Linked DNA regions of Coturnix japonica. The protein of the gene in region 1 interacts with the protein of each later gene in a biochemical or structural test. Links are inferred from orthologs where the notes say so. Each region holds a gene or a part of one and is shown in the gene's direction. Other genes may lie near its edges. The genes, in order: EPS15, SGIP1 and AP1G1.

Region 1 (3,647 bases):
CCTTGGCCTATCGATAATAAAGTTGAGGAGGGTGATGGGAAGACCAGATTAAGAGAAAGTATAATACGTAATTTCTTCAGATGTCTTCAAATATGAACAGTTGGATAAAAGTGTATTATTTAGTGAAGATTTTGAAGGTATTTTACAAATAAATTGTTTCAAAACATCTAGCTCAACCCAAAGATCAGAACACTTAGAAAACAGTTTAATCCAAGTATGTGCAGGCAGAATGTTTGTTCTGACTGAATACTGGTTTGAACATGGGCAGTTTTTAAAACAAATTGTGATAGGATTGTGTATGTACTTACATGTTGTCCAAGACTTTTAATCTGGCAGTTTACTTGACTGACTTAAGCCTGGGTAGTGTGTGTATTACAAAGCAGTGTATTCTGGATGAGTGTCTTGGTGTATATTTTTTTTTTAATACAGTACCATTTGAGATTTGTATGTGTTAAATGTCCTTGTACTTTTAAATTAATATCCACAAGCATGCATATATGCAGAAGCTGAATCAATTTTCACTCACCCTCCCCCCACCTTTTTATAGTAAATAGTGTAGTATTTGGAGAAAATGTTGAAGTAAGAAATGTGGCTGTAACTCCTATCTTTACCCTGGTAAGAACTTAAGACCTACAATTTAGAATGTCCCAGCTGTTATCTCTGAGCTTGACCCAGCTAAGGGTCTCCAGCTGTGTAAGGAGGAGTGAAGTTGATGTAGCTGGACTGAGTACAGTGGTGAGTGGAAAACCCCGTGCTAGGAGGAGATCTGGGCCCCAAGGGATACATCTATTGCATAGGCAAAGAGAGTATCAGAGCAGTAGTAGAGCAGTATCAGCCGACTGTTGTCCTTCATTGATACCAATGTTTTTACTTTTGGAGTGTCTTACAGATGCCTATACATGTCTATGTACTTTTATCTATGATAAAAGTGATTCATAAATGAGGCACCCGTATCACTTTCAAAATCTGTGCTGTAGTCCTTCAAATATGTAACTCTGAAAGTATATAACAGTCTGAAAACAGAACTGTCTTTATCTTGGCATTGTGGATTTTGTTTTTCTCTCTACCGCTCCCTCTCCCTTCTCTTCAGTGGGTTGTATCGCCTGCAGACAAAATTAAGTATGATGAGATCTTTGTGAAAACTGACAAGGACATGGATGGATTTGTGTCAGGTGTGGAAGCCAGAGAACTATTCCTGAAGACGGGACTGCCTTCTGCTCTGCTTGCACATATCTGGTAGGGATTATTTTTCCACGACAGCTGTTTAGGCGATGGCATGGTTCTTGCTTTTTCCTTACTCTTTTAGTGAAAAGTGCTAGGTCGACATTTATGGAAAATGAGGGCTATTTTCATATACAATAGCAAGGCCTCTGTATTAGCAGCAGTAATTTAATTTGCTTCTACTTTTGGATAGAAATAAAGGGTAAATTGGTTGATGCCATGAGCTGTTTCCTAGCTAAAGGAGGTAAAGAGCCTGAAGAGATAGCTACAAACCAATACTGCATTTAGCTAAATGCCTGTATATAAAGCACCATAATGTTGCTGTGTATTTGAAAACTGATAATGTCCATTTGAGAATTATCTGTATTAAATTGTTAGCATTCAAGACTCAGGGCCCATCTAATTCTGTGAATCATTTGTCTTTCATTATAACCTGTATATTATAGCCTGTAGTGACACCTACTGTGTGGTGGTATTGTTTCCAAATTTTTCTCCATTGTAAGCTATTGCGTGGTACTCTGATAGAAAAGAAACATTGTCTTTTTCAAAGTATGGTTAGTATAATATAGGAAATCTAGGAAAATGGTATAAACTGGTGTTGCTTATGGGGAGTTCTTCAGTTTAGCAAGTAAATTCAGCTACAGATATTTAGACATTGCAATTTGTAGGCCTAGTTCAGCCTTTTACCAGATTAATAATTACTCTAACAGAGCAGTGAAACTGTACAAAAAGAGGAAGTGGTTGGGTATGTTTCTGTATTTATTACCATGGTTTATTTGTGCATTACATTATTTTTAATAGAGCAGATATGCAATAGCTGTTTTCACAATTCTAACTGAAAGTACAACACGAAGAGTTAAGTTTGTGGAAATGAAGATTTTGTTTATTTCATGTGCATCTCTGTTCAGGGCACTCTGTGATACAAAGGACTGTGGGAAGCTTTCCAAGGAACAGTTTGCTTTGGCTTTCTACTTAATTAATCAGAAATTAACAAAGGGCATTGATCCACCTCAAGCTCTGACTCCAGAGATGATTCCACCTTCAGACAGGAGTGTCACATTACAGAAGGTAAGGATGGCTTTGCATGCTTGGTATACATTTCAAAGGCTGCACAGGAGGCCCATCAAGTACTGGCAAACATTAAGTTTGTTATAATATCAGGAAGAAAACAAGTATTAATTACAAATAAGTGACAAAGCACTGCTCCGTTTGTGTTTTGAATTGAAGCCGTCATTTATTGCGCTTGCCAACCAAGCAGAGAGATCTTATGTTGAGAAAGCACTATTTTCTATTTTAGAAGAATAATCTTTTTTCTGTCCTCGGAAATCTTAGTTTGCGTCAGAAGTAACATGCACAAGTTCTATGTTTTTGTCCTAATGTGCCTTTCAATTATCTTTTGCATTTCTTTTTTTCAGTAGCTCTCAAAATAATATGAACTAAATAAAGTTTATGTTTTTGAAGTTCAAGAAGTAAATGTCCACCATTTTATTCTTCACAGATAGTTTGAATGTCTCGATAGTGTCTTAATTGCCATCTGCCTTAATCGAGCAGTAGACCATACCTTAACAGTTCAAGTTACGTTTATCCGGATGGCGGGAGTCATGGCAAATTCTTACTTGGTTTACGCCTCATAGAGTTTTATGTTGGTTACCTTTTCTTGGTTGTGCAAAGCATTGTCCTGCCTCTGCACTTTCTTGAACAGAATGAAAAATCAGCAACTGAAAAACTAGAAACTCAGAATTTGGCCCTGCTTTTGAGTTTCTGTAGCTGGAATCTTATTTCTTTTTTATGTTCTATTTTAAAAAAGAGTAACTGCTTTATTTGCAACTCTACTAATATTTTTGTATGTTTGCTTTCCTTTCTATGTCTCTTTTCTAGTTTGGACTGTTTTTTCCATTCTGCACCACTCTGCTTTTCATCCTTATTATTCTGTCAGTTTGTTAACTCTGCTTTCTCAAGGTTAGAGAATCTTTGCTTTTCTAATATTTACTGTCTGTTGGTTTGATAATGAGCGTCCTTCTAAGACTCTTAAATAACCACTGAAATAGTGCAGCACTTTTCTGAAGCATCACAACTTGTTGCAGTCTCACATTATTACTGGTTTTCAGTGTTCTTCATCTGGAAGAATCTCAAGGTGCTTTGCAAATCTGAACTAACACAGTGTACATAATCTGCTTTTGTGCAGAAAATGATTTCTGGGTAGACCACTGTGGCTGTTATGTTTTGGCTACATGTACTGCTCAAGTTTACAAAAGAAAGTGCTTTGCATTATCCTGTTGGAATTGTTGAGGGAAGTGATGACAGTTGTAGCCCAATATTACAGATGACAGTTTCCATTAGGACTGATACCCATTTTATTACTGATTAAGTTTCAGAGAATGTAGTGGTCAGAAAACACTTCAGATGAAATCAACATTGTTTATGGC
Region 2 (3,647 bases), about 4.2 Mb from region 1:
CATTAACCCTCTTTCTGCCCAACCCCAATCCATTCCAGCCTCTCAGCCCTCATCTCAATGAGCCACCTTGCCATAGCAAACCTGAGGGCACACAGGAGCAAGGAAAAAATAACTCGGTAAGGAACATGGTGCTTGGTTACATGGTGCTCCTTGCCATCGTTAAGGAAGCTTAAACCCAAGGGTTGATTTAAAGGCAGCCCCAAGAGCCTTTGCTTAGCTTGTGTCGTGGTAGAGTCTCACCACATAGATGTGCAAGCACATGTGTATATTCGTGTTCTCTTTTTCCCCCCTTCATTTTAAGTGTTGAAATCTTGTTTTCCCATGTGTTACAGAAGAAAACAAATGGGGCCCCCAATGGATTTTATGCCGAGATCGACTGGGACAGATACGTAAGTGTCTGAGGGCTCTGCCCCTTCCATGGGCAATGCTCTATTGTGAACCATGTCCCTCAGCCCCACTCTTGTCTCTCTGCTCCAAAGCTTAAGCACACTGAGCAGAAATAGTGACTTCAGAGACATTATTACAGATGTACTGATGTGTATTCTCTTTTAAAGGAAAGGTTACTTAGGGATATGGTTTAGTGGGCATGGGGGGGATGTGCTGATGGGTGGACTGGATGACCACAGACTACTTTTCTGAACTTAATGATTCCATGTGGCATCAATGATTTGAGAACTGATTCAGCAGACAGGCTTATAAAATGGTCCAGAAGCCAGGAGACCAAGTGAAGGGCTACTCTTCCCTGTGTAGGTGAGGAGAGCACTAATCTGTGCTTCAAGGGCACTGGGTCCAACCAAAGACAAATGTGGTTTGCAATTGGGTGTGAGGGGGGGGTGGGAAACTATAGTAACAACAACAACAAAACCCCAGCAGCAGTGTTGATCCTTCCTGTTTTGTGCCCCATGCAGAACTCCCCAGAGCTTGATGAGGAGGGCTACAGCATCCGGCCTGAGGAGCCAGGCTATATCCTTTGTTGTGGGCTTGGCCTCTTGGCTAACGATCTGTAAGATGAGCTGGGGTTCACAGAAAGGCCACTGACTTTATGGGTTTTTCTTATTTTCCTCTTTTATTCTCCTTTGAGCTCTTGCTCTGCAGTCCAAACCAGCTCCCAGAGAGTGTTATCTGTAGTAGTGGAGCAGGGGGCATGTTTAAGTGCCTTTGATCCATGCTATGACTTGAGCAGGCTTTCCTGGGCAACCTCATGCCCTCTACTTTGTTATGATCTACAGATCCATAATGTGTTCTGTAAGGGGTGAGGAAACAAGGATGCAGGCTGTGCATGCTGCATGTGTGCCAAGCTTGGGGCTAATAGCATCCTTGTTCACAGCTGGAGGAGGGTGAGTGAACAATAGGATTCCACTTTCTGCTGATGGAGGGCTTTGTCCCCATCAGAGCTGAGGAAGGATGGCCATACATCAATACAGACCTTACTGGGCTGCAGCAGAGCAGTCTTCTTACCTGCCTCCATGGGCAGTGCAGGAAGGCTTGTCCCTGTGGCTGCTCCTGCCATTGAGGTTAGTGATGAGCGCTTTAGAAATGCTCAGTTCCCGTTTTTCAGTGAGATGTGACGTTTTGACCCATTGCTGAGCTGGTGGGTGCTCCTGATCTCCAAGCAAGCTTCCTTAGCTGCGCTGCACCCACCAAAGGGAAGCACTTCTACTCCTCCAGTGAGTCTGAGGAGGAGGAAGAAGCCCACAAAAAGTACAACATCAAGATCAAACCGCTGCAGGCTAAGGACATCCTGAAGAGCGCGGCGACGGTGGATGAGCTGAAGGCATCCGTAGGCAACATTGCACTTTCTCCATCCCCTGTGGTGAGTTGTCCATGTCCCCAGCTCTATTCCTATTTGCTTGCTTTGGCCCAGGGAGCCCCTTCCCTTGTGTGTGAGTGAGGAACCTTGGCTCTGGGTCCTTGTCACCTGGATCCATAGGGAGTGGTGATGGGGATTGATAGCAACGTTTGAGCTGGGGAATGTCTGTGGGGCTCTCCATAGTGCTGCTGTAGGGTGCTTCCCACCCAGGGGTGTCTGAAAGGAGCAGCCATGTCTGCTCCCTGGTATGAATGCTGCTACCCACTGGTTTTCATAAGGCTTGTTGAGATCATCATCGCATCCCAATCTGTTCTGCTGGGAACAGATCTGCGAGTTTTGCTTTTTTGATAGGCTTCAGAGTGGGCTATGGAGTCTCTGCAGCTGAAGCTGTTCAGGGTTTATCCTCAGCCCTCATCTGAGGTGTGAATCAGTCTCAAATAGAAGCCAAGGTGAAATAAAATCCTCATTTTATTTCTCCTTCCCAAATCAATGCAATGTCACTAAGCTCACGGAAAGGCACTGGGAGAAGCTGATGCCTTCTGCTCACAGATGCAATCCTTTCAGTTCTGTGTCAGCCCCTTACAGAAGAAATCTGATTTTCTCTTTTTATTCTGTTGTTTTTTTCTGCATACTTTTAGAGGAAAAGTCCGGTAAGAAATTCTCTTTTTTTTTTTTGCTTACAAACTTTTAATACAGCCTTGACTCGTGTGCTCTGCTTTCCTGGCACCTGTTCTGCATGTCTCTGGAACTAGAACGTAAAGGCAAATAACAAATCAGACAGTTCTGGAAGGTGTGATGTTCATTGCTGTCCTTCACCCTTGGGTTTAACTCGGTGGGTGGAACAGAGAGCTCAGAGAGACAGTGGTGACCCATCCCTGCAGAGACCCAAGGTCAGGGATGGGGCTCTGAGTGCCTATGGAGCTGAGGGTGTCCCTGTTCATTGTGGGGTTTGGGACCAGATGGCCTTCAAATGTCTCCTCCAACTCAAACAGTTCCATGATTCTGTGGATAGGAGCCTGGTTGTGTTTCCTTGAGATGTGCATAGTCCACATGGGGCGTTCCATGCTCTCTGTGGGAAGGCTGGGGCTGGTGTTGGATGAGATGTGTGAGGGCACAGCTTTCCCTGAGCAAGTTCTGCTCACGTCCTTGTGCACCAGGATGTAGTGGAAGGCAGGAAAGTGCATCTGTGGTTTGTGACCACAGTGCTGGTGTGTGCAGCAGTGATGTTGTCCTCATAAGGACTTCCATTCTGAGCCCAAATTGGGCAAATTCTCTCTGTTTGGAGGTACCAGGCTCCCCCTCTGCTTGTGCTCCATTGCAGGAGCTGACCCAGGGCATCAGGATCAAAGGGGTTCAGTTGCCAAAATATCAAAGTGCATCAGGAGGGCAGGTGTGGAGCATGCTGCATGCCTGGATTCTGGGGTCTGTGCCCAGCAGCACTGCAGCACAGAGGAACCCCATAAACACCCTGAGGGCAGCTCTGGATGGGCACTGCCCTCCTTGTAGGCAGAGAAAGAGATGGCCGTGCATCAGCATGGGGCTGCTTGTAAAGCTGGGGAAGGAGCATCCCAAGGGTCCCAACCTCAAGTTCTCAAGCAGGGATGCTCCCTGTCCCTGGGATGCCAGTCCAGGCATGGTGCCACATTGGTGCTGATGCATCCCTCTCTGACCAGGTGTCTGTTCTCTCTCCCTTCTCGCTGACCGCAGCGGCGCAGCCCGGTAAGCTCCTTCCTTGCTGCCTTCCTTGCTGCCTTTGGCCATGAGTTTGTGCAAGTGGTGATACTGCAGTGCTCTGGAGGGGGTGGGGGGCTTGTACTGCATGCAGGTGCTGCATGTT
Region 3 (3,747 bases), on another chromosome or scaffold:
TCCGCGACCCCCACCGGCCACACCGGCCCCATCGCTCCCACCGCCGCCTCCGGCCCGGCCCCTCCCCGCGGCGCACGGCGATGACGCGCGGCCTCGCGCCGGAAGCGCCTCACGGGCCGGGGGGGTGGAGGGGGGCGGGGACAAGGAGCGGAGCCCGAAGCGTCCGTTACCGGGGAGACGGGTCCGGGGCGGTGCGAGACGGGAGGAGAGGAGCGGAGCGGGCTGCGGGGCGGGACAGAGCGCGACCGGCACCGAGCGGACACGGGGCGGGTGAGGGAGGCGGCCGTTCGGAGCAGCGCGGCTCAGCCCGGCCCGGTTCAGATCCCGGTTCGGATCCCGGTTCGGATCCCGGCCCGGTGCGGTTCAGGCTCTGAGCTCCGTCCCGGTACCCGCAGCCATATCCCGCCCCCCTCAGCCGTTCCCGTCCCGCAGCCCCCGGTCCCGCTCCGTTCCGTTCCTCCGCTCCGTCCCGTGTTTGGCGGCACTCGCTGTTCTTTACGGTGCCCAAAGCTCCGCGGGTTCCGGCGGCTCGTTCCGGCTCCTCACGCGGTGCCGCTCCGTGCGCTCAGCCCCGCCGTGCAGCGGCTCGTTCCCTCCCGTTCCCCAGAAGCCGCACGAAAAACAAAACAAACCGAACAAAACCAACCGGACCGGTGGGCAGCGCGCTCTGCCCGCGGCGCACGGACACGCCGGGCCGCGCTTTAACAGTGCCGCCCCACCCGGAGCGCACACGCGGGTCCCGTCCCGTCCCGCCCCGCCCCGCCCGCACACCGCGCACGTTCCCCGCGTGGCCCCGCCCCGTCCCCGCTCGGTCCGTAACTGGCGTCGCGCTGCGGGGCCGCCCCGCCGTGACGTCATCAGCGACTGCCACGGCATCTCGTTGCGCTGCTCGCGATGCGGAGCCTCGTGCGCTTCCGCCGGGACAAATAGTGCGCGCGGCCCGTTCCTCCCGTCCCGCCGCCCGCCGCCGCCCGTCCCGCTCCTGTCGGTGCCGCCCCGGCTGAGGCCGCCCGGCCGCTTTCCGGGACCGACGCCGGCGGATCCCGGGGGGCCGCGAGGAGCGTCGTGCCGTGCGGATCCCTCCGCCTGCGGTATCGGTGCTGAGGCCGAGCCGCCGCCATTTTGAATGCCCGGCTCCTGCCGCTGCCTCCGCTCCAGGGACCGGCCCGGTGAGTGCTGCCGCCCGCCGCCCCCATCCGCGCCGCCCGCCCGTTCTCCCGCTCCTCTCTCCGCTCCGTCCCCCGCTCCCGGCGGTGCCCGGTCCCGCTCTCTGTCGGCGTCGCCTCGTCCCGCAGGATCCCTCGGCCCGGAGCCTCGAGCCCCGCCGTGCTCGGGGCGCTGCCCGCCGTCCCTCGGCCCGTCCCGGCTGTGTCCTCCCGTCCCGTCCCGCGGCCCGTCTCGCTCCTCCCGCCCTCGCTCGGTTCCCGCGGGCTCCTCCCGTCGCTCTGTGCCGCCCGTTCGGGGCTGTGGGAGGCGGGACGGAGCGCGGCTCGCGGCCTTGTGCTCTCAGCCGCGGGCTCGGGCCGGGCCGCGCTCGGTAACGACACGCGGCGCCGCGTGGAGAACGGGGAGCGCGGCGGGAGATCCGCCGGGACCGGGCGGGCTGCGCTCGGCGGCTGGAAGGCGGCGCGGGGATCGGGGCCCTCTCGGAGCCTTCCCCGCTCCTCCTCGGGAGCCACAGGGCAAACCCTGCTCGTTTGAACGCTGGGCGTTGGTTCGGCAGCGGGAGGGCGGCACCGCCGTTCGCTTTGCGGGGCTCTCAGGGCTCCGTGCTGCGTTCGGTTCTGAAAGCTTGAAGCGAATGGAAAAATACGGAGTTAAATGGAAGCGCTTCCAAGGGCGTTTCACGTGCGGGACCAGAAGCGGCATCTGGCGCTCACCGCCTTAAGCAGCGCGGGGCGTATTTCTGTCTGTGCGATCCTCCATTCACCCCGTGTTTAAAATGACACATTGAAGATTTTTTTCCCTGTTCTTCATTGCAGTAACATCAATCTCGATCTTCCGTTCGCTTGTTTACTTTTCTTCCCCCTTTCTGCAGACTGTATTTTTCCTCTGCAGACAGGGAGCATTCCCATTCTACCACAAAACTTTTCCTTTTTCCTGCTTGTCCTGTCTTCAAACGGTGCATTTCGTTGGATGCCCGTGAGCTGGATGCAGGCGGGAGGCCTTGTTCCTCAGGGCACTGTGCAGGGTGAGCCCTCGCTTCTGCCGCGCTGGGAGGAGGAGAGGAACGAGCTTCAATTCCTGTGAGCTGACGGCAGAAAGGAGGGTCTGTTAGTGAGGCACCCAGCTGTCCTGGCCCTGCTGTGTAGAACAGCTTTCAGGTTCCTTTTTTATTTTAGTGTTTCTGATAGAGGGACATTCTCTTCTCTTCTCTTCCATTTCTTTGTTCCTGTGACTTTTAATCTGACCTTTCTTTTTTCAAGGGGCACCGTAATCAAAGCGGAGTTGGTCCGTACTTTTGGCACTGTCCTGGCCGATGAGTGAGTGTGACAGGTAGATCCTTCCAATCTTGATAGCCTGTTTGCAATAGGAGGTTTGAATTAGCGTCACTGTAACCTGATGAGATTGGTACATTCGTTTGTGGAATAAAAAGGCTGTGAGCAGCAGAAAGGAGCTGGATCTGTCTGTTCTTAGGCATGCAGACAGACTGCATGGGTTAAGGATTGGGAAGTTGCCTTTCAGAGCATAAAGGCTTCTGAAGTTGATGCCTCCTTTACATTAATGTTTTTGAGTTGGTGTTGTGCATCTTCAGACAGAGATGAGCTGTTTTGTTTAATAAGAGCGCAAAATCTTTGGTCTGAAAGCCATGTGAACTTGTTCTGGATCACACTGGGATGTTCTTTGAGGAAAACAGTCTCATCGATCATGATGGTTGTGTTACTTTATTGGATGATATTTGGTGTCACTAAACATACACAGTGCTGTTACTCAGAAAGAAGCAGTGCAAACGAATATCTGCTAATATCACTGCAGTTAGTGGCATTTGCCTTGATCTGGCACTTTGGAGATGCTGTAGATAAAGGTCCACAATGAGCATTTCCAGGCACCTGGCAGTACAGCACTTTGTTGTAGTGCAGTGTAGGGGAAGGTGTGTGGTTCAGTCTCGAAGCAGTGACACACGTGCTGCCCTGCCTGCGTGCTACCTGTGCTGCCTTTTGCTGTCCGTGTACCTGCACGTTGCACCATCACATCCTCTGCCGCTGCTTTTTCAGCTTCCGTTTTTAGGCGTGTTCCATGCTTCCTTCCATTCCCAAGCCCCCCATCTTTGTATAATGCAGACTATTCCGATTCCTTGTCTTATCATTCTCTGTCTTGACATTTCCTTTGCCTTAATTTCTTTCTGATATCCCTATGTTACTTATTTTCCACTTGTTATTTACCTGTGTTGTAGGAAATAGCTTTTTCTCAACACACGCTACGTTCCCCTTTGAATGTTGTATGGTTGGTTGCTTTTTAGGAACTCCTGTGTGTTGCCTTTGCCCGCAGTGATGATGGCAGTGATGATGGCTGTGCTGCTTGGTTGGGAGCGTGCTGTTTTCTGTATAAATATGGATGATGTTAAACATTGTGCCGGTATCTCTTTCTTCTTAGTTTTTCCTTGCCAGTCTGGTCTCTGTTTGTAGTGTTTTATTTCTCTTTTTACTGCCATTGTGCCACTTTCTTTTCAGGTGTCTGATGGTGTGAAGCCCCCTGGCAGTGTTGTTTGGTCTGTTCAGGTTAACCACTGCACGTTTTCCTTTTGCA

The links.
Region 2: the proteins of EPS15 (region 1) and SGIP1 form a complex in vitro, tested with the Homo sapiens proteins (2 studies listed by BioGRID, with this or other methods). The link is inferred for Coturnix japonica from reciprocal best matches to the Homo sapiens genes EPS15 and SGIP1.
Region 3: the proteins of EPS15 (region 1) and AP1G1 form a complex in vitro, tested with the Homo sapiens proteins (2 studies listed by BioGRID). The link is inferred for Coturnix japonica from reciprocal best matches to the Homo sapiens genes EPS15 and AP1G1.

Annotation. Positions count from the first base shown.
Region 1 is NC_029523.1:21,504,499-21,508,145, reverse strand, and holds part of EPS15 (epidermal growth factor receptor substrate 15), read left to right. Parts: intron 1-1,090; coding exon 1,091-1,236; intron 1,237-2,129; coding exon 2,130-2,289; intron 2,290-3,647. UniProt on the Homo sapiens protein: Involved in cell growth regulation. May be involved in the regulation of mitogenic signals and control of cell proliferation. Involved in the internalization of ligand-inducible receptors of the receptor tyrosine kinase (RTK) type, in particular EGFR.
Region 2 is NC_029523.1:25,693,969-25,697,615, forward strand, and holds part of SGIP1 (SH3-containing GRB2-like protein 3-interacting protein 1), read left to right. Parts: intron 1-38; coding exon 39-116; intron 117-332; coding exon 333-389; intron 390-908; coding exon 909-963; intron 964-1,637; coding exon 1,638-1,813; intron 1,814-2,448; coding exon 2,449-2,460; intron 2,461-3,517; coding exon 3,518-3,529; intron 3,530-3,647.
Region 3 is NC_029526.1:17,656,998-17,660,744, forward strand, and holds the start of AP1G1 (AP-1 complex subunit gamma-1), read left to right. Parts: upstream 1-868; 5' UTR 869-1,169; intron 1,170-3,747. UniProt on the Homo sapiens protein: Subunit of clathrin-associated adaptor protein complex 1 that plays a role in protein sorting in the late-Golgi/trans-Golgi network (TGN) and/or endosomes.